4 linked regions of the Drosophila melanogaster genome follow. The protein of the gene in region 3 interacts with the protein of the main gene of each other region in a pairwise test. Each region holds a gene or a part of one and is shown on either strand. Other genes may lie near its edges.

Evidence for each region.
Region 1: the proteins of Sgf11 (region 3) and Cp15 interact in a two-hybrid assay, tested with the Drosophila melanogaster proteins (one large-scale study listed by BioGRID).
Region 2: the proteins of Sgf11 (region 3) and path interact in a two-hybrid assay, tested with the Drosophila melanogaster proteins (one large-scale study listed by BioGRID).
Region 4: the proteins of Sgf11 (region 3) and 7B2 interact in a two-hybrid assay, tested with the Drosophila melanogaster proteins (one large-scale study listed by BioGRID).

What each region holds. Positions count from the first base shown.
Region 1 is NT_037436.4:8,726,321-8,730,451, reverse strand, and holds Cp15 (chorion protein 15), read right to left. Parts: upstream 1,972-4,131; 5' UTR 1,926-1,971; coding exon 1,914-1,925; intron 1,843-1,913; coding exon 1,507-1,842; 3' UTR 1,386-1,506; downstream 1-1,385. Other genes in the region: Cp19 (chorion protein 19), read right to left, coding at 1-440, 530-544; Cp18 (chorion protein 18), read right to left, coding at 2,925-3,428, 3,603-3,617. UniProt on the Drosophila melanogaster protein: Chorion membrane (egg shell) protein; plays a role in protecting the egg from the environment.
Region 2 is NT_037436.4:9,501,322-9,507,448, reverse strand, and holds the start of path (pathetic), read left to right. Parts: upstream 1-2,120; 5' UTR 2,121-2,317; intron 2,318-6,127. UniProt on the Drosophila melanogaster protein: Amino acid transporter which has pH-dependent electrogenic transport activity for alanine and glycine but not for proline. Plays a role in positive regulation of growth by directly or indirectly modulating the effects of the TOR signaling pathway.
Region 3 is NT_037436.4:18,679,081-18,683,593, forward strand, and holds Sgf11 (SAGA associated factor 11kDa), read right to left. Parts: upstream 2,757-4,513; 5' UTR 2,609-2,756; coding exon 2,018-2,608; 3' UTR 1,957-2,017; downstream 1-1,956. Other genes in the region: CG32202 (uncharacterized protein), read left to right, coding at 3,197-3,297, 3,359-3,683; Chmp1 (charged multivesicular body protein 1), read right to left, coding at 4,139-4,513.
Region 4 is NT_033777.3:5,374,382-5,379,307, reverse strand, and holds 7B2 (7B2), read right to left. Parts: upstream 2,529-4,926; 5' UTR 2,377-2,528; coding exon 2,358-2,376; intron 2,310-2,357; coding exon 1,498-2,309; 3' UTR 1,333-1,497; downstream 1-1,332. Other genes in the region: kkv (krotzkopf verkehrt), read left to right, coding at 1-241, 311-412, 488-670; CG14667 (uncharacterized protein), read right to left, coding at 3,025-3,151, 3,208-3,321, 3,384-4,030, 4,092-4,217; hd (humpty dumpty), read left to right, coding at 4,811-4,858, 4,918-4,926. UniProt on the Drosophila melanogaster protein: Acts as a molecular chaperone for neuroendocrine convertase amon/PC2, preventing its premature activation in the regulated secretory pathway.

The sequences.
Region 1 (4,131 bases), about 10 Mb from region 3:
ACGAAAAGCTTGGCCACTGGAGCAGCAGGGCGGATGGGCAGGATCACCTTGCTGTACTCCGGGGGCGAGACGTAAGCCTTGTAGTTGTTCTGGCCGGGGTACAGGAGGGTGGCACCGGCGGGCTGGACAGTCCAACGGGGTCCGTAGCCGGCACGACGGTAGTTGCCACCGTTGTAGCCACGTCGCTCACCGCCATATCCACCGCTGACCTGGATGGGACGCAGGATCTCGGGGGCATAGCTGCCGCGGTAACCGCCGGCGATGATCTCCACGGGGCGCTCATAACGCTGCTGACCCTCGGCTCCAGCAGCAGCTGCTGAGCTGGCGGCGGAGGCGGCGGAGCTATCCTGACCGTAAGATCGCTGTCCGTAGCTCTGCTGGCCACCGTAGTTGGCGTAGCAGCTGCCCACGATGCAGGCGCAGAAGATGACTGCCAGAGTCTGGAAAATCAGGAAAACTTTCAGTTAGCATAAGTCCGGAAAATGAAAGAGCGGCAGGGAATACGGAAGCGGTTCTCAGGGACACTTACAGCGAACTTGTTCATGGCTATGATGTATGGGTTTTGGCACAGTTGGCTGAATTAACATATTAAATGGCCAAGCACACTTCTTTATATAAGCAAATTTATTGTTGCACTCGAAACGTGATCTCGCCCAGAAATTTATCACGGCTCAAGAGCTGGCTTCGTCGTCTCTTCTCGGCCAGTTTGTTGGGGAACTTTCTGTGGATTTCTAGCTTTTCCTAGCCAGATATCGGGGCTCCACGTTGAGCTCGTTTCGGCTCGAGCAGGTTGCTCACCGCAGCGTATCGTATCGCCTCCATTCGCCGGTTGACCTTCGTTGGGGGTGGCAGATGCAGATGCTCCCAACTGAGGCCCAAAATCAATGGTTGCATTTGGGTGCGTGCGGGAACGCAAGCGGGTTAATGGGATAACGGGCCAACGACTGACCAATGGTTATTGGATATGGATTTTATAATATTATCTATACCTTCAAGTAAACAGAACAAACCAAATTTTAACGATAAAACATAACTTCAGAGTCTATGCCTTTATGCACATTGGCAAATATGTTATTGTAATATATATAGCCCTTTGTTTGATTATACAATTTAAGATGTTCGTCTAAGAATCTATTAGTGAAACTAAGGGTTTCATAGGTGACTAAATTCTTGAGTCACTGAAGCTTAACCTGTCGACTTTGTAGCTTAAAGTGCAATAGTACTTCTATATAGTATTGTACAATCTGCCGCAGTGAATATTCTAGCTGCCCCACTTTGAAACCCATCTTGTGTGTGGAATAATAATAATGACCCACCGCTAAATCTTAACCCGAATGCGCTGAAAAGTATGTCACAATGCAAAACACACAATACGTATTTCTTTTCGGTATTTTCCATTGCGTTCAAGCTGCTTTTATTCACTGATTCTCAGAGTTTCGCCATGACAGCCACTCGAGGATTTTAGCAAGGAGTCGATAGTTCAATTCACTGCCGATGAAGCGAGAATTAGTAAGCACGTTGGCCGTAGCCGTGTCCGATCTCGTAGCCGCGAGCGCCATCCAACTCGTAGGAGGGAATGGCGTACTGCTTGTAGGTTCCGGGATTCACGGCAGCGGCGGAAGCGGCGGCAGCGGCAGCGGCACTTCCTCCATTACCCTCCGATCGCAGGCTGCGGGGATAGCTGTTGTAGCCACGGGATGGTCCGTAGGCGGGCACCTCCTCGTAGACGACGCGCTGAACAGGACCGTAGCCACCACCGTAGCCACCACCATAACCTCCACGGTTGCCGTACGCTGGGCTGGCGTTGATGTAGGCGAAAAGGGCCAGGGTAACGCAGACAATCTGAAGGTGAAAAGGGGAAATCCGGAGGATCAGTTGGCTGCCACTCCTTCACGGGGACTACCACAACTTACCAGGTACTTCATGGTGAGTGCTTAGTTTTGTTGGTTTGGGGTAATCAATCAAACTATGATTTACCGACCAGAAACGCTCGCTTTTATACGCAAATTTTAGCCTGGACATTTACGTGACCTATATACACTAATTGTTCTGTTTCAGCCCAGAAATGGCATTTCATAATTGCCCGGCTGGAATATACTCACATTTGATTTATGTACTTGTTGTCAAGCCATTATAAAATCGCTTGGTTACGCGATGTGCTATTCTACCGGGTGTTGGGTAGTGATAGCACTACGAACACGCGACTCTTCCAAATGGGAACCACGAACGCGTTTATTTTCGAATACAGTCCAAAATTTGTTGAATTGAACTTTATATTATCCACATTCTCGGGGGTAATGGTTTCCAGGTCGGTTGTGTCCGGAACTTGGCTTGTCTAAGTGAGGATTCTTCTAGAACTGGTTCCAGCCGGTTTTTCTGATAAAACCTATATAGAATCATCCCTTTAAAGTGACCACTAGTCACATACAAAACTTAAAATTATAACTAAAACATTTTAAAGTATTTCAATCATTTTGAAATTTTACAAAAACATAATTTCAAGCAAAACTATATTCTATCTAATCTCATTTTATCTAATAGGTTCTTTACTTATGGTAACTTAAAAAAGTCAAGGCTTATTTGACGAACTATAGTTTTAAAGTGGCCCCACAAATGAATTTAGTTTTAGCTTTTCAGCTTCATTCGCCATGAGAATTATTCTTTAGCACTTTAAGCAGCATTTTCATTTAACTACGAAACCACGAAATTTTTGCTGGCTCAAAGTATCGCTTGGCATTGCAATGAACCGCAAGTCTATGCCAATTCAGCTAAGATATGCAGATCTCAATTCTCGGCCCGAAACTAAAAACCCAGCAAGAATACAGTACTCAAAATTTTAAGTCTTGATGTTTTGGCTTTTATTATTATGACCTAGTTCCTTATGGGCAGGTAAGTTTTTGGTTCACTGTTCAACGTTTTGCCACTTAGTAGCTGGGCCTCTTGTAGCCCTTCTTTCCGGCGGCCACGGAGCTGGCAGCAGCGGCTGCGGAGCCTCCCTTCACCTTCTCGCTGTGTCCGTACTCCTGGTTCACGTAGCTGGTGGGGGGATAGACGGGCTGGGCGTAGCGGGGAGCCTCCTTCCAGACCAGAGGAGCTCCAGCGCTGGGAGCGGCCAGGGCGAGCTTGGCGAGGGCAATGGCCTGGGCATCAACTGGTGGGGCACCGCCGTAGCCGGAACCGGAGTACTGAGATCCCACATTGGCACCGCTGTAGGCAGAGGACACGGGCACAGGCACCGACTCGTAGGCACCGCCATATCCTCCATGGTTTCCGCCGTATCCACCACCGTATGAGGGAACGATCGCCTTAACGGTCAGGGCAGGCTGCACCTGGTAGGCATAGCCACCGACTGGGGCACCACCGTATCCACCACGGGAACGTCCGTAGGAGTTGGCCGAAACGGCAGAGATGGCGCAGAGGCAGATGCACTAAGGGATTCAAGAAAAAATTCAATTAATTTGGGTTTAGACTGAAGTGTATTAGAAAAGAAAGATCCAATCATATTATCCAATTATTATAATATGTAGTTATATTTTATTGAAAGGATCATACTGGACTCAGTTGAGGTGTCAATAGAAACAATATTGGAACTTAAGGCTTACCATGAACTTCATCATTCTGAGGCTGAGTTGGTTAGTTGATCGATGCGAAGGTAACTAATGTCTTATTCTGGCGCAATGTTTTGTTTTTATACCAGATCCAGGCAGAGGCCCAACTCTTACGTGACGAATATGATGCAAGTTTCGGCTCTCCGGGTTCCCGCAGACGCAGTTCCAGGCCTCGCCTCTTTGTCCAGCAATCTTGAGACGCCGCCGGAGACGTGCAGCCAGGCCGAATCCGCACTGGCCAAAATGCTGGCTCTCAATTCGGGCCGGTCCAGATAGCAGGCGTCTGTGCTTACGCCATCGTCTACCAGAGACGAGACCCATTACGTAAGATTCCGACCGCATGACTCTTCGTGCTCCGGATCCGCATAGTTTCGATCAGTATTGCAGTTGCTTTGCCCCACGGTGCCGAGAGCTTGACACCGATTTTTCAGTGACACAGTGAAGTCAAGGCAGTGGCCTGAAAATTCTGCTGCGTTGGTAGAATTTATATACAAAAGCAAAAAAAATTGAGATAAAATTACAA
Region 2 (6,127 bases), 9.2 Mb from region 3:
GTTATACGACTGCTACTTTGATATACCATTATCTGTAATTTACTGCCATTTATTTTGATAGACACTAAGCCCACTACGTCCATTGAAGGGAGATTTTAAAATAAAAAAAAAACACACGTACTCCGCAACTTAAGAGGCCACTTTAAAGACACCGAACTACACTCAATCACTCAGCTCAATCGAACTCAGATGAATCTACAGCTAACCTAACCATAGCTCAAGCTCAACTCCATAGTAACTGAATGGCAGTTCCAAACTAGCCAAAGCATAGAAACTACAGACACAGTCAGACCAGACATCCTCGTATTATTCACATCTATCAGGTCAAATCAGATATAATCGAATCGATTCGAATCAACTCACCTACAAATAAAGTACTATAACCGTGTGCAATTCCCATCTTATTTCTAATTCTTGCTCAAATTGTATTCATGTTAGCCCGACCATTTTACATTTGTAGATTTTAAATCGCATAGGTTTTATTGCAAAGGAAATGTATACCATCATGAGTGGAATTTGCAGATAATCAAAATGAAATTCAAGCGGTTTCATATGATTTATGCGAAATCGAAATAATTGAAGCGTAACAAAATATTTGCAAGATTCTTTGAATAAAAACGTACATTTTAACAAATTTGTTGAAGTTTTCTTATTCTTATTTAATACTTGAACTAATTTTATTCTGTGACTTAACAGTTTGCGCCCAAAATCTAACAATTCAAATTAATTTTATGTCCCAGGAAATTGTTAATAAAAATAATTTCAATTGAGATTGTGGGAAATTTATGCTTATCTATTCACTTGGTCACCATGCTATCTATAATAATATTTATAGCCCCATTCGGCACGCGAGTTTATGTTAAATATAAGTATTAAACGCCCCGCTATCTATTTATATTTATTATTTTCCTTTTTTGGATTTGTGACCATTTATTCTGATTATAATAAATTATTATTCTTTCAAGAAAAATGAATGTTTGTTGATAATAAAGATTATTTAAAAGTAGTGGCAATGATTTTAAGTAATACTATATTGAAGTTCAATTCCTAGCATCATACTAACTAACATATCTTTCATCATGCAAACATCAGCAACACAATATAAGATCTTAATCCTACCAACCCATCCTGACATCATTTGTATCTTCTTTATTTGGCTCTCCTCAACGTAATTGGTTCATTCGCATATCGCAAATAAATTGATAAGTGATAAATGACTAGCAAAAACATACCGGTTCCGTGTTAAAGTGAATTTCATCAGTAGAAAGTTGTAGAACTTTGGACGTATTTACCTGCTGTTGAGCGGGTGGAAATTATTATTGAACAACGTGAGAGAGAGCAAAAAGTTGGATAAATACGTAAATATTGTGGTTATCTTGTTCGATTCCCAGAACTTAAACAACACCGAAACCTAATTGCTGATGCAATGCTGTTTATCAATTTCGTGCAAGGATCTTACCGCTTCTACCCGCAGCTCCAACTTTAAAGTTTCGCATTTCCGGCAAGTCTAAAAAGTATATAGAGTTTGCCACGCTTATGAAAGCCGGTCTTAGATTTCGTCATCCAAAAAGTGGAGAAGGCCCTTGCCCTTTAGGATTTGCGGAATATACATATCTCGCTTGCTCTTCTCAAATTCAGCGCATCGTGTCGCTGTCCTTGTCGTCCTTTCAGCCGTATTTATTTTTTTCTCTTACCCGGCTTTTCTCTTTCTCTGCATTTACAAGCTGTTTGTTTTAGCGGGAAAAAAGCCAGATCGGATTTTAAAATTTCATAAATCAAGCTGTAAAATCAGATACGTACTTGCCTTACCTAATTTTTTTGTGTTTACTAAGAATAATTCATTAAGAAGTAAAAATATTCTAATAATCGTAGCCATTTTGACAAAAATTCCTTAAGTGGCATTTTGTTGTCTTTTTACTTAAGGTAGTTAAAAAAATATTTATAAATATTTATAATAAAAATCATAATTTTCCTAAAGGCATAATCTATACCTATAATTTATTACGTATTCTAAAATATAATATTTTTACATCTTGCCTTATAAAATAAAGTAAAATAAATGTCGGCAGCACTGTTGCGCTCTCTCAGTATTTATATTTAAGCAGGGACTGTGTTTCTCATTTTAGTTGCTGTTTGGTGTTCGCGCAGTCCGCACGGCTTTTTGTGTCGCGGGAGATATCTCCGATTTTTTAACTGCCCAAACTGTTGGCATTATTACAACTTTTATTCGCCTAAAAGGCGATTGACCGGGAGGAGTGTTTGATTTGCGCGGCATTCACCAATTCGTCAGCACTTCAGAGAAAGAAGGAGCAATTAAGTAAGCATAAATTCTGAACTACTGTACAGTCGCCGGATTTAAGACAAGGGAAGCGAAAAGAGGGCAACACTTGAAGCACATGGCAGAAACACAGAATAAATTGGGTTTGTCTGAAAATAGCATAGTGCAACTGCTGCTATAACAGACATGTGTTATGTATTCAAAAAAACATTCGAAATAGAAGTATAGAATTATAGAATGATGTGCCATGTTGTAGATGAGAACCACGAAAGCAGACGAAAAACAAAAAGCAGGAGAAAAAAACGGCTTTAGCGAACCATAAATAGCCGAAGTGACAATTAAAACCGAAACCTTTTCATAAAAACCGAAAAATTCGACAGTCAAAAAAAAAAAAACGGGACACGCGTGCATTTTCGACGTCAACGTAAAACGAACACGTTGCACCTGTCCCGTTATTTGCATTACGGCTTTCTACATTTTTTTGGCTGATATGTGGATATTTGTGGATATATTTGGATGATTTGTTTTCGGGCATTTTATAAAGAATACGTTTTTCCTGAGTCATGAATGGAATATAAACATTTCCTCGGTTGCCCGCGCTTTCCATTGCAGTTTGATGTTAGTGCTTTTATACATGTGCTATAGTTCAATGGCTGCGAATAGGTTTCTCCCCAATTTGACTTGCTGATGCTCCACGTTTCTTGCTAAATTTCAATACGTAATTTACCTGTAATTGAGCACTTAGCCAAGGGAAAGTTCGCCCGATGCCAGCGAAACAAATATAATAAAAAACAAAACGAAATTAACTGTTAGCAGAGCACGCATAAAAGAAAAAATAAAATGGATTACTATCATAGCTGTCTGCACACACACGTCAATGCAACTGCCCCACCCACACTGAACTGCTGCACCCACGCCCACACACTTTTAGACCGATTCGAACTGAGTCATCAAGGACATGGCCGAAAGGAGCTCGGGCCAAAATGGGATGGGTGCACTGAGAGAAATGTGCATCCAAAATCTACCTTGTGCTTGAAATCGCTCTGTTGCTTTTAAATCTATTGATGAAGTAAACTAACTTCTATACACTTTGAATTCGTTAATCTTAGATCTATCTATCTATCTTTGGCATTGAACGTTTAATACTATTTATGACAATTATTATTTCGCACTGTATGTGTATCTCATCACTTTTGCCGACTGAGGTGCGCCTGTTTTTGGCCATATCTTTACGATGTAACCATTTCCTCGCTTTACGCGCTCGTTTTCTGTTTGTGTTATTGATTTTGTTGCTATTGTCGCTGTTGGTAATTAGCATAACAGAAATTTACAAGCTAAAGTCAAAGACGCAGTAAAACTGTGACGTCAGAGGCTGGGAGTCCAAGGGAGAGGCAAGTGTCAAACAAAGTGAAAAAGAGAAAGGTGCTAGGCAGAAAGAGAGGGGCGCACGTGGGTGCAACATGTTGATTGCGTGGGCGGCCTTCGGGCCATTTGGCATATTCCAAGAATAAATCTGATTTACATATCTTACGATTTTGGGATTATGAATATTAAGTACGGATTTTAAGCCAACGATTTTAAAGTGGAATTGAAATTGTATCATAGAAACGGGCATTCAGATATAGTAGGTTTATACCTTATATATTTATTCAAAATATATATATATATTATATATTATATTATTATTCAAAAACCTATCTTTATTTCTTTTTACTGTTCTGGCTGTCAATCGGCTTCGCTAATTTGCACACATGTGCCACTTGCGCAATTTTCCACCAGAAGCAGACATTACACTTGACCGCCTTCCTTCCCTTCATTTGCCACAACTGACCCGACAGAAACTAATTATTTTTAGACGCAACTAATTTCCGTAACACCTGAGTTCGTTTCTGTTATCATGTTGCCATTTTTGCCTTCTTAAATCGATTGGACCATTGAACGGCAGCTCAATAAACACTGTTCCACATAAAGTGTCGAAGAAAACAATTACCAAAAATACAGTCCAATAAAACGAAGTTCATATTCGTATCGTCGCACATTATCTAAAACGATAATGTGACCTTTGTGGCGGCTTGCTTGGGTTTTTTTTTATCAGGATTGACATTATGCAACAACCGCATGCAAACTCTCCAATTGCGGGTAATTATTTTAAACACCTTGAACAACAGGGAAAATTGCATTTATCTCTGTAGATAGGACAAAACAACAGATAGTTACTACCATTTCATTTTTTTTTTTTTTTTTTTTTTTTGACGCGTGTCTCAATTTTGATAAGGAGACTTTTTAGAAACCTATTGGGAGCTGTATTTAATCAGCAGTTTCCCCCGTTCATATGCACATGGAGGCTATAACCTTTTTCTAATGACGTAAATGTCAAACAGATCTGAAATCTTTGACGTTCGAAAACAGCTGCTTAAATATTTTTAGAGATTTCAAAATTGATGAAGAGAATTTACCAAACAAAAATTACATAAAAAGAATTGTTGAGTTTTTGAAACAATTTCGAAATATGTCACTCCACTTCACTTACATTTCCGGTAGTTATATCAGCTTTTTCGCTTTTTCCATGAATCATGTTCCACTATCAACAAAAATTCTTTAAAAACCGCAGAATGTGAGACAATTGCTGAACTCGCAACATGATTCCCCCAAAGTGAACACCTATGTATAAGAAGGGGAAACCAAACACCGTTTCGATGATAACTCACTAGATAAGGAGTGTCAACATAACGATTCCAAAACAAACAAAAAGCAAATGCAATCCATTCGCACAAAACAGAAACGTTCGGCTGATGAAATGCTAAAAAAGCTTTGCAGCATGAAGCGCTGGGATAAATATAAACCGATTCTTCTAAGAATAAAAGTATTGTATGATGCTTACTCAGAATATTCCAAGGAATGTCGGAATAATCTCATATTGGGTTATGACCAGACCAGAACTCACAACATTTAAGGGCTATAACCATATAATTTTGAGCAATTGTAAGTGTAAAATCCCAAATAAGAAGACTTTACTCGTTGAGTTTTTGTAAGAAACTGATTTTATTTGGAAATATCTTCGGTTTAAATAGGTGACATGAGAATCGCATCTTAAAGTAAATGGCCTACGCAGAGGCCTAAGTAAATAGTCCCCGCCTTATCGAGGTCCCACGCTCGGGCACATCTGCCTATCTTGAGCGGCGAGGACCTTATCTGTGGTCTCCCACTAAGGGACTATTTTAGGAGGCGGGGAACGATCTCAAGTGACTGACTCATGTAGTGTGCACTTAAATTACATGTTTTTGAGCAATGCACCCATGTCGCCTTAGATAACAAAATCCTAAATATAATTTATCGCTCTCGATTCATTTACATAAGATATGAACGGAGCCCAAAATTGTAAGTCTTTAAATATATTCGTGTTCATGTGTGAACAGTAAGGTTAATTTGAAGTTCATACGTCTGGTACGAGTATCTTAAAAAATTATAAATATAAATGCACAGCAACGAAGGCGAAACACGTGGTTTTCACTTATGGCCGAGGGGCTCGACCGGGTGGTTTTTTGCTATATATGTATCTATGTATGTATATTAGTCGGGATGCTGCTGAATATAGCAGAGAATTGAATTGAGAGTTTAAGAGAAACGCAGAATATAAAGAGTTCATTTTTATGCCAGATGTTCATGTGCTTGTATTGCAGCAACAGCGTTTTTCAAAAAAAAAAAAAAAATTCCCACGCTTGAATGCCGCAAACAGGATTCTTTGTTTTCATACAGCATTACTTTCCCGAGATTCCTGAAATAATTTGCATTTCCAATACTCAAGGTTCTGATTTGGTTTTTAGAGATTTGTCACGTTTGGCAGGCAGA
Region 3 (4,513 bases):
CCAACTCCTCAGCGCCACATTGAATTGTTCCTAACTGTCGGCGGAGAGTACAATTTTCCGGATAACAGCATTCCGCCAGAGCAAAAGAGCTATCGCAATTTCGAAACGGGTCTATCATCGAAAATTATAAAGGCCGTAACCAATGCACCCATTTGGGATCAAGCTGTGTTGGTCATACAACAATTTAATGTTTATTCAATCGATGAATACGAGGAATGAATATGACTCGCGTGATCTCATTAAGCTACAACACTTAATTAAATATTTGGTCTAATGAAACTGTGAACTATGAAAAAAGTGAATCTATGATTTCATTGAATAAAATACTATATCTGACCTAATTATTGGAAACCAATGTGATCATATCTATCATATTTTTACAAGAGAACAGCTAAAGATTGAGAGCTTATATGCTAGGGAATGCAGTAACCCACATGTTAACACAATGATTGCAAGACTGGATTCTCTGGTAGCCGCCATGCGGAAAGGCTGTGTTTTTCTAATTTTGTTAGGTTGTCTTGTTTCTTTGATGATTGCCTTGGAGGGGCCGCATCCAGTGGTAAATGTGAAGGGCAGGGAGGTATTCATAGTGTTACCCGGGGATCTGGAAGAGATTGAGTCCATATACTTTCAAGCCGAGTTGGTTGACAAAGGGTGCGATAACGAAGCATATTGGTGCAAAGATTGAGTTACAAAGTAACATTGAGCCCAATGCCAAAATAAGAATTCAAACTGTGGTGGAGAGAAATAATAAGATTGCAACTCAGTTTTTCGAGATTAAAATCAACGATAATGGAATTGGCGAATTATTTGATGGGCCTAGATTAACCTGAGTTCTTCAGAAACGTTATCAGAATGTTCCCATTGAATTGGGTACGCGAGGTTAGGTATCGTAATACTGGCGGGAAAAACCAGGAGTTTTTTGCCTTTGTGGACGATCCTGTCAACTCGATTATAACCAACAACAATTTGCACATATCAATTACCAGAGATGAGCGAAATATGACTCTTCTGGGCTGCACCAGCAAATAGCCAAACGAAAAGAGTGTGACAGGGGGTCAAGATCGAAACGGGAGCCTTGGGTCTCCAAGACCTTTAGATCCGCCAACATGCACACGAACTTTACCTTTAAATATGGGCGAGTTGAGATTAGAGCTAAAATGCCCAAAGGCGATTGGTTGTTTCCAAGTGAGTGGATATTTAGTTTTTATAGCTGGTAATCACTACATGGTTTTGATTACTTTAGACATTCTTCTGGTGCCCCGTATGGATAAGGCGGATGACGATTTTTTCGATCATATTCGCTTGTACGCCAGGGGAAATTTACTATGGGGACGGATTTCACGACTATTATCTGGCAGACTGACAAAATTATCTTTAAGTTCGATGGCGAGTTCTTCGGAGCAGTAAACAATCCGACACTTCTTGAACCATTTCGAAAACATGAGGTAAGACGCCTTCCTCTAAAAGATGTAATATCTCTATGATCTTTCGTTTTTAGTGCCATCTAGTCCTTGGCCTAACCGCCGGCGGCAATGTTAATTTCAATGACGACATTCTAGAAATGAAACACAAGCCCTTTTTAAACACCCACCCCAAAACTGACAAACAATTCGAGGAGTTGTCTAGAAATTCGGACTGGACACCCCTAGTGGTCGACCATATCCGGGTGTTTGCCATTGATAAGGAAGGAAAATAACCAAAATATATACTCTTTAAGTTGTAAAATATAAAACTAAGGCTTGCTTTCATATTATTACATTGAATTACTTCATTTAGCACCAGGAAAGTCTATGTTTAAAAGCGCCTATTTGCTGAAAAGTTATATTACCCTTGTCCTATGATATCTAGATATTAATTGATTAGATATTGCCACTAACTGCTGTCCTATTCAAATGATCTCAAAGAAGAGTAGGGGTCGATCACCAAAATCCCATTAGTTTAGAATACATTGGTGACTGATTTAAAGGTGTACTTTTATGGCAGAATAAACTACGAAAATGATTGTTAGCTCTGACTAAAAGGTTTTGCCATTGTTCTTCTTGGAGCCGTTGTTCCTTGAGTTCTGGTTTGATTTCTTTCGACGCTTGTCGGACGACCAGTCCACGTCATCCTCATCATCAGTGCCTCCGGTATTTCCCGAAGAGTGCAGGTGGGCGGATGTGGCGCCCTCTTTGGTGGCCAAGCGACGAGAGGCAATTCGCGACGAGATACGACCCATGCCCATGCACTTTTCCAGGTGCGGGGCGAAGCGGGCGGCGGCCACCAGGCGATCACAGTTGGGGCAGGTGCAGTCCATTGGCTTTTTGGCCGTTGAGATGCCGAATATGTCCAGGTTGGGCATCTCGCACATTCGATAGGTTGAGTCCTCCGGCACTCCGTCCAGGGCGGCCAGATTCCCTGACTTTCGCAGATGATGTGTCTCGTTAAAGATTCCGACTACGGCGTCGTCGAGCAGCGACTGGTACAGATAGTTGGCCGCCTCGTCGAGGTTCTTCGGTTCCTTGATCAACTCCCGGAAGTGGTTTACAATCGTAGTGCTAGTTGTGGGAACTTGGTTTCCCGATCCCTGAGCTCCTGTTGTCGTCGGCATGTTGGCTGCAGACATAATAGTTGGCGCAAACACTATATCTATTTGCTTCTGGCTGTCTTCCTGTCTGCTCTGGAAGATTTGTTTGGCATGCCGGTTGTTGTTGTGGAACTACATAAGTTACTAATTGTGGGTTTGCTTAACACGGCTGTTTGCAAAATGAGAGAGTTGCCAGGCTGGTGCAAATAGGGGTAAATAGTTTTAAGGAACTAGATATTCAATTTAAATAGTTGCATCTAAAAGTAACAGCTTTAACCGTTATAGCAAATTATAAAATTTATATTATTAACCAATTTAAATAGTTTATATTTTCATTAACTTATAATTTTAAATGCATCAGGTTTTGTCATTTCATAAAACGAGTATGTAAAGTAATTATTATGACCAGTTAAATCTTAAATTAAAGACAATTATGTCAAGCAGTTTTTATGCACTTTTGCTAAATTTAGTTCAATAAGTGAACTAGTCCTTTTTTGAATAAATATGACGTGGCAACGCCTGTACCGACAGACGGAGCAAGAAGAAAATCGCCCATCTGGCCACACTGAGCCATGGCGTAAATAAAAACATTTCTAAATATTGAACTATAACCAATATCTGTATAAAATGTTGCTAAATAAGAAAGAACTCATGTACAAACAGCTGGTGGAAAAACTGTATGACAGGTGCCAAAGGATTCAGGCGGAAAATGAGCGATGTGTGATGAGGTAACCGTCATTTTTATGCTCCACGAAACGTAAACAAAAATGTGCAGTACCTTTTATCCAGAGTAAATGGGATCAAAAAGATAGTAAGAAGGCGCAATCATGACGTGGAGCTTCTAAAACGGCGACTAGATAAGCACGGAGACGACTGGCGATCCGTTCCCATGGAGGCTCCACATCCCAAAGGGAAAACCGAGCAGAAGCGTCGAGGACCGAAGCCCAAAAACAAGCAGGCGGCGGATGAAACAGGAGCACCCGGGTCTGAGCCTGGACCCAATACTCCAGCTGCCCGGAAACCCCGAAAGCAAAAAGCCAAACAGGCACCCATCAATCCCAATCCAGTCATTGCACCACCGCATCAACAACCTCAACCTCCACTGTTGACCTGAGTCATAGCGATTGCTTGGCGTGTTCTAGTTTTAAGATAAAGGGCTTGTATACTTTTAAATATAATATTAAGACAAATAAAAGCTAAGACCAGAAATGAATTATAGTAACCAAAGCAATGAAAGTTGTGATTGCTGCAGAACCATTTCTATTTCCAAATTATGCTATATCTTTCCAAGTAAACAAGTTACAAAAATTGGCAGGTCTTCAAATAACTATAACAACAAAGCCTTTAAAACATGATTATCGTATATTGCATTAGAAAAGCATGTAAATCATAATCCGTTTGAAGCCTATACAAACAGCACACTTACACTTAAAGATTCATGGCAATTCTTCTGATTATGGTAGACAAAGCAGCATCGATAGACTTCCAATCACTGAGTTTATACTTATTTATATTTTGAATGTACTTAATTGCTAAAACAGAAATTCAACGGGCAGGGCGTCGCTATTTTTATTCAGCCTGGCGGAGACGTGCCAGTCGCTGGGTGAGCTCGTCTTGCTCTTGGGACACTGCTGTCGAGGCTCCAACGGATTGGCTCTGAACTCCGCTGGGCAGCTCCATGTTGAGTTCGAGGCCAGCCTCGTCGGCCACTTGCTGGAGCAGATTGTCGACATCTCCCTGAGGCACCGAGGTGGTTACCGTGTCGGACATGGTGCCCTCCATTACCGAGCTCTGGACGTCCAGGTCTTCGAACTGCGATTCAAACTTCTCCATCAGGGAGGAAATCTTCTCCAGGTTCATACCCTTCATAGCTGCATCCATGGCCTTGACCACGCCGGCCATGGAGCCGGTGACCTTGCGGGTGGTGAGTGCGGACTGAACCCT
Region 4 (4,926 bases), on a different chromosome or scaffold from region 3:
GCGACAGCCACGTCGCCAGATCGGCACCCTGGATGTGGCGTTCAAGAAGCGCTTCCTGAAACTCACCGCCGATGCGGAGAACAATCCGGCCACGCCCATTCTCACCCGCCGCCTGACAATGCGGGCGGAGACCATCCGGGCACTGGAGGTGCGTAAGAATTCGGTGATGGCCGAAAGGCGGAAGTCCGCGATGCAAACTCTGGGAGCAAAGAACGAGTACGGAATCACAACTGGAGCACCGGTGAGATTAGAAAAGTTTTTGGAGAAATTTTAGATACAGGATCATAACTTCTTTAATGCATATATGTAGATTAACAACAATGGAGCTCTGCCGAATCAGCGAAGCGGACGTGTCTCGAATGCAGGCATCAGCATCAAGGATGTATTCAATGTGAACGGTGGTGGTGCCGAGGTAAAGGCCAATTTATAATCATAAAATATGTGTATTCTCATGGAAATATTTTGTTACGTCCGCTTACACTTGCAGCAGATTTACGGCTCGAATGGGGGCGGCACTATCAACCAGGGTTACGAGCATGTGATCGACGAGGACGGCGACGGCAACTCCCTGCGGCTGACCACCAGGAATCCCCATCCCCACCCGCACCACCAGGTCTCCTGGGGCCAGAACACCAACGGCGGCGGCGGTAATGGCACAGGTCGCCTGTGAAGGACCCGCCCATCCTAGACGTAGAGCTAAGTTAGACCTAGGTAACTTGTTAACGAATTCCGCCTCTTTCCATCAACTGCCTAAACTTAAGACTAAGCCAATACCTAGAATTGTAGTCAGAAGGAAGGATTGTGTTGTATAGTATGTATAGGGACGCGAGTGAGAGCCAGGACACTCTGGCTCAGAAGGATCAGGTCGTTCATAAGGCTTCATGGCAACAGAACGAACATTATGCTTAGCTAATCACACTGCCAGTGTCGATGTGTGCCAATAATTGGGTGGCTGATCGCCCACTGTGGCAGCAACATTCATGCGATGTACTATACTATCATTTGTTAGGTTATCTTTAAGTCAATACCCGCGTGGATCATCCGAAACACGCGGCCAGTGCATGCTGACACAAAATACTCAACGTGGAGCTGAACCGCAGTGGCCTATTTGTACACTCGACGACATATCGAGGATAGTTCTTTTTAAATGAATAATCATTGATGATTTGATGGATTGTAAAACTTTTTAAAACAATAAATAGAAGCATCAAACAGATATTCGATATTTCTCACTCTCATCAAACTTGGGTCATCCCAAGGATAAGCTACATCCGAACCCACCTTCGGTAGTGGAGACCCTACCCCAAGTTTAGACCAATACCCGCATATTTTCGGCTTAGAGCCCTGGTACTATACGAATAACTTTATTTTCGGGAAAGGGTAGAAACATTACTAGACATCGCTTGCGGGACAACATTGATAACCAGCTATGATAGATAATAGTATTAGACACCCATATGGAAACGTCGTGTATGCTCGCGTTATCAGCGAGTTACCTTAGTGGAATAAAAGGTTGCCCTTCTTGGCGGCTATGGGCAAGCGGTCGCCCTGGAGGAACGGGTTTATGACCGCGTCGTCCAGCCGAGGATCGGGCATCACAGGATATCCGGCCTTCTTAGCCAGGCTGTTAACGTTGTTCAGGCTGTTCTCCTGGCCCATCTGCATGATGTACTGCTCCACGGCGGAGTTCAGGTCACCCTTGTCGCCGCCCACATCAGCACTATCCTGTTCCGAGCAGTCGAACATATGCTCGTTGTCGCAGGTACAGTCCTGAGCGGCCTGGAACTCCCGGCTGAAGATGGCCGTGTTTTCGAAGTCGACAATGCAGCTGCCGCCTTGCGTCTCCATGTCGTAGCCCTCAGGGCAGGGATTAGGAGGGTTGCAGTAGGCAGGCAGGCCGGCGTCGTTCTTCACTATAGTGGGATACCTGTTGGGACCCTCTCCCATTCCGCCGGAGATGAACTGGTGACCCCACAGCGAACTGTGCTGCAGAAACTCGTCATCCCGCAGCGAAGGATGGGAGGCAGCTCCCGATGCCGAGCCCGATTGCAGGATGCAGTCGCTTCCGCCGTCACACAGCCTCGCGTACTCCGACCGGGAGACCAGGTCCACGTTGTCCTTGGAGCCAGCGGCTGCCTCGTTGCCCACGTCGTAATAGCCCACCTGCATGTCTTTGTCCATGCGATTCAGCAGATCCGTCATCAAGACATCGGCAAGAATATCCTTGGCGCTATAGGACTGCACCTGGTAGCCACTCAAGGCGACCACGAGCATCGCCACCATCATGTACACACCTGGAAAAACATGGGCTATTCTCTTACCTCACCCACCTATAAATATTACTTCAGCAGACTTACTTTGCGAACGGAACAACATATTGCGATTCCAAGCGGTTTCAACCGTCCACGTCGAAGTTTGGTAAGGTATTGATTTTTCGGCGGCAGCTGCTCCGATTCCGTGTATATACTAACGTGACGTAGGGCTCTGTGCTTCGTGCGGCGGCTACCAGTTGAATTTGCGAAATATACGCAGATCCAATCGAAGCTGCCTTATGGCAGCCACAGCTGAAAGGACGCATGCGCCGTACTCGAAAGCTCTTTTATGTTGAAGCAGTCCTGTGGGGGGCCGAGAATTAGATTAGCGCCAAACTGCTGGAGCTGAGGTTTTCAGGCCTCTTTAAGCTTTATTAGTATAAAATGCTGGAAGAAAATAAGAAAACTTAGTCGCTAAGAAAACTTTATTTTCTTGAATTGTATGACTAGAGGTTTATGTTACACGGTAATACGCTATAAATTTCCATTCCCTCCTTAATTTAAAAGTATGAACTATAAAAAATGACTTGAAAGTAAAACTGAAGGAATTTTATTTTCAATAAATTAAAAATACACTTATAAAAAAATAACATTGAACCGATACTCCATTGTCGAATATTATGGTAGCGAAGTAGTAAACTGAACTACTCAATTATGATTTATTTTTTTGACCTTAGCATTTACTTAGAAAGAAGGTGGTAATAATTGAGGGTTAGGTTGCCAATTCGATGAAATCGAATTCATCCTGCATATATTTGGCAAGGCGCTTATGCGGTGCTGTTTTTGTATGGGCCACCAAGCCTCGGCGAGTTATAAAATCCATGTTGCAAGGCTCACACCTAAACGCAAAAAATACGATATTAAGACATATGACTGCGCAAGCTGACAAGCTTACCTGAACTTTCGGATTTGCTTTGAGTGTGTCGAAAAGTGGTTCTGCAATTCGGAAACGCTGCTGAAGATCATTCCGCATTCTAGGCATGGATAAGGTCGTTCGTTCTTATGGGCTCTAAAATGAAATTGGAAGTTGCATATAGTGCTGCGCTAGCATTCAATTCCCAGCCTCCTTACTTGTCGTGCCGCAACTTAGCGCCCAGAGACGCGAAAGCCTCGTGGCAGATGGTGCACTGGAACCTGCGGTTAATTAAATGAACCTGGGTGCGATGCTGCTTGAGAAGCGCCTTCTTGTTAAAAGTCTGTGGGCACTCAGGGCAGGGGAAGAACTGGTTCATATCCCGCCGGTTCTGGTGCCCATTTAAATGCTCGGTGTACAGGAACGCATCGTGGAACAGGGTTCCACACTCGTCGCAGATAAAGAAGTTACTGCGCCTCTTGGCGGCCCGCTCCATTTCCTGCTCCTGTAGATCCTCCTGCTGCGCCGCTTCTGCTGCCGCCTCTGCTGCCGCTATCACAGCGGCAGAGGGGTCGTCATCCAGCTCGATTTCCTCTAGGTCTTGGTGTTCCTCTTTCGTGCCTTGATAACAAACGTACTGGTCGTCATCGTAGTGCGTCTCCAATTGATCCGCATCGATCAGTTGCTCGTCCAGCGGCTCGGAACTAAGCTCAACGTGAACAGTGCTTTGATCACTGGTCTTCTTTATGATATCCAGCAGGTACTTTTGCGAGAAGATGCACCGCTCGCGGAACTTGGTGGCCAGGTCCAGCTCGGAGAAGCAGCGCTCGCAAACAATCTCCGGCAGCCCCTGGTTTCTTGTCAGCTGAACAAATTCCAGGTAATAACAATTGTTGGCGCGGTCGGAAGCTGACATAACGACCTACCTCCACTCCCGTGATTAGCTTCAGTTGACCCAAATATTTTCCCCGCATGTGAATGAATATGTTGCGATCTCGCTGGTGGCCCATAATTTTGTTGGCGCAAATACGGCAAACGTCGGCGAGGTTCATTGTTTATCAAGTTAATGTGTTTACTTTTAGCATAAAACGCAGCGACGGAAAGTGTTACCAGATCATAAAACAGTTGGAAAAACGACAGTGCTTAATCGATTTGTTATCGGTGAATCCGATAGTCAGATACATTTTTATAGCGCAAAAAGATTTTTTATTCATTTGATTTTATTAATAGTTAAAACGATACAACATGCGCTTGTTTAATTTAGGTTAGAAGCTTGTAAATCCAAAAAGAACCATTAAAATTAAAAAATCAAATTCGATGCCCAACAATGCCATTGTTAACCAACATAGCCCCTGCAGCCAGTGATATACAATTTAAGTTAGTTTCGTTTTGTAAACTACTCCATCTATTATAATAAATAATTAGTTAAATTGTGAGATTCGTTTTATTTGCCGACTAACGATATTTTTGGGAATTGAACATGGGCGAAAATAGCGAATAACGAGCTAATCAATCGAAAGATTTCACACCCCTAGTTGCGCGCCATAATTTTTTGTGATATTTGCAAACGTTTTGAAGATATTTGCAGTTCACAAAGTACTTAAATAATCCGTGAAGGTCCTGTGCGCGAACCAAGACATTGAACATGTCCACCGAAGCGAGTGTGGCTTCCAAATGGACGCGCCCAGATGACGTGGGTAAGGACTCGGAGGAGCACCTGCCCGCCACTAATGTTGTTGTTTCGTTTTCCAGTTCATCAAA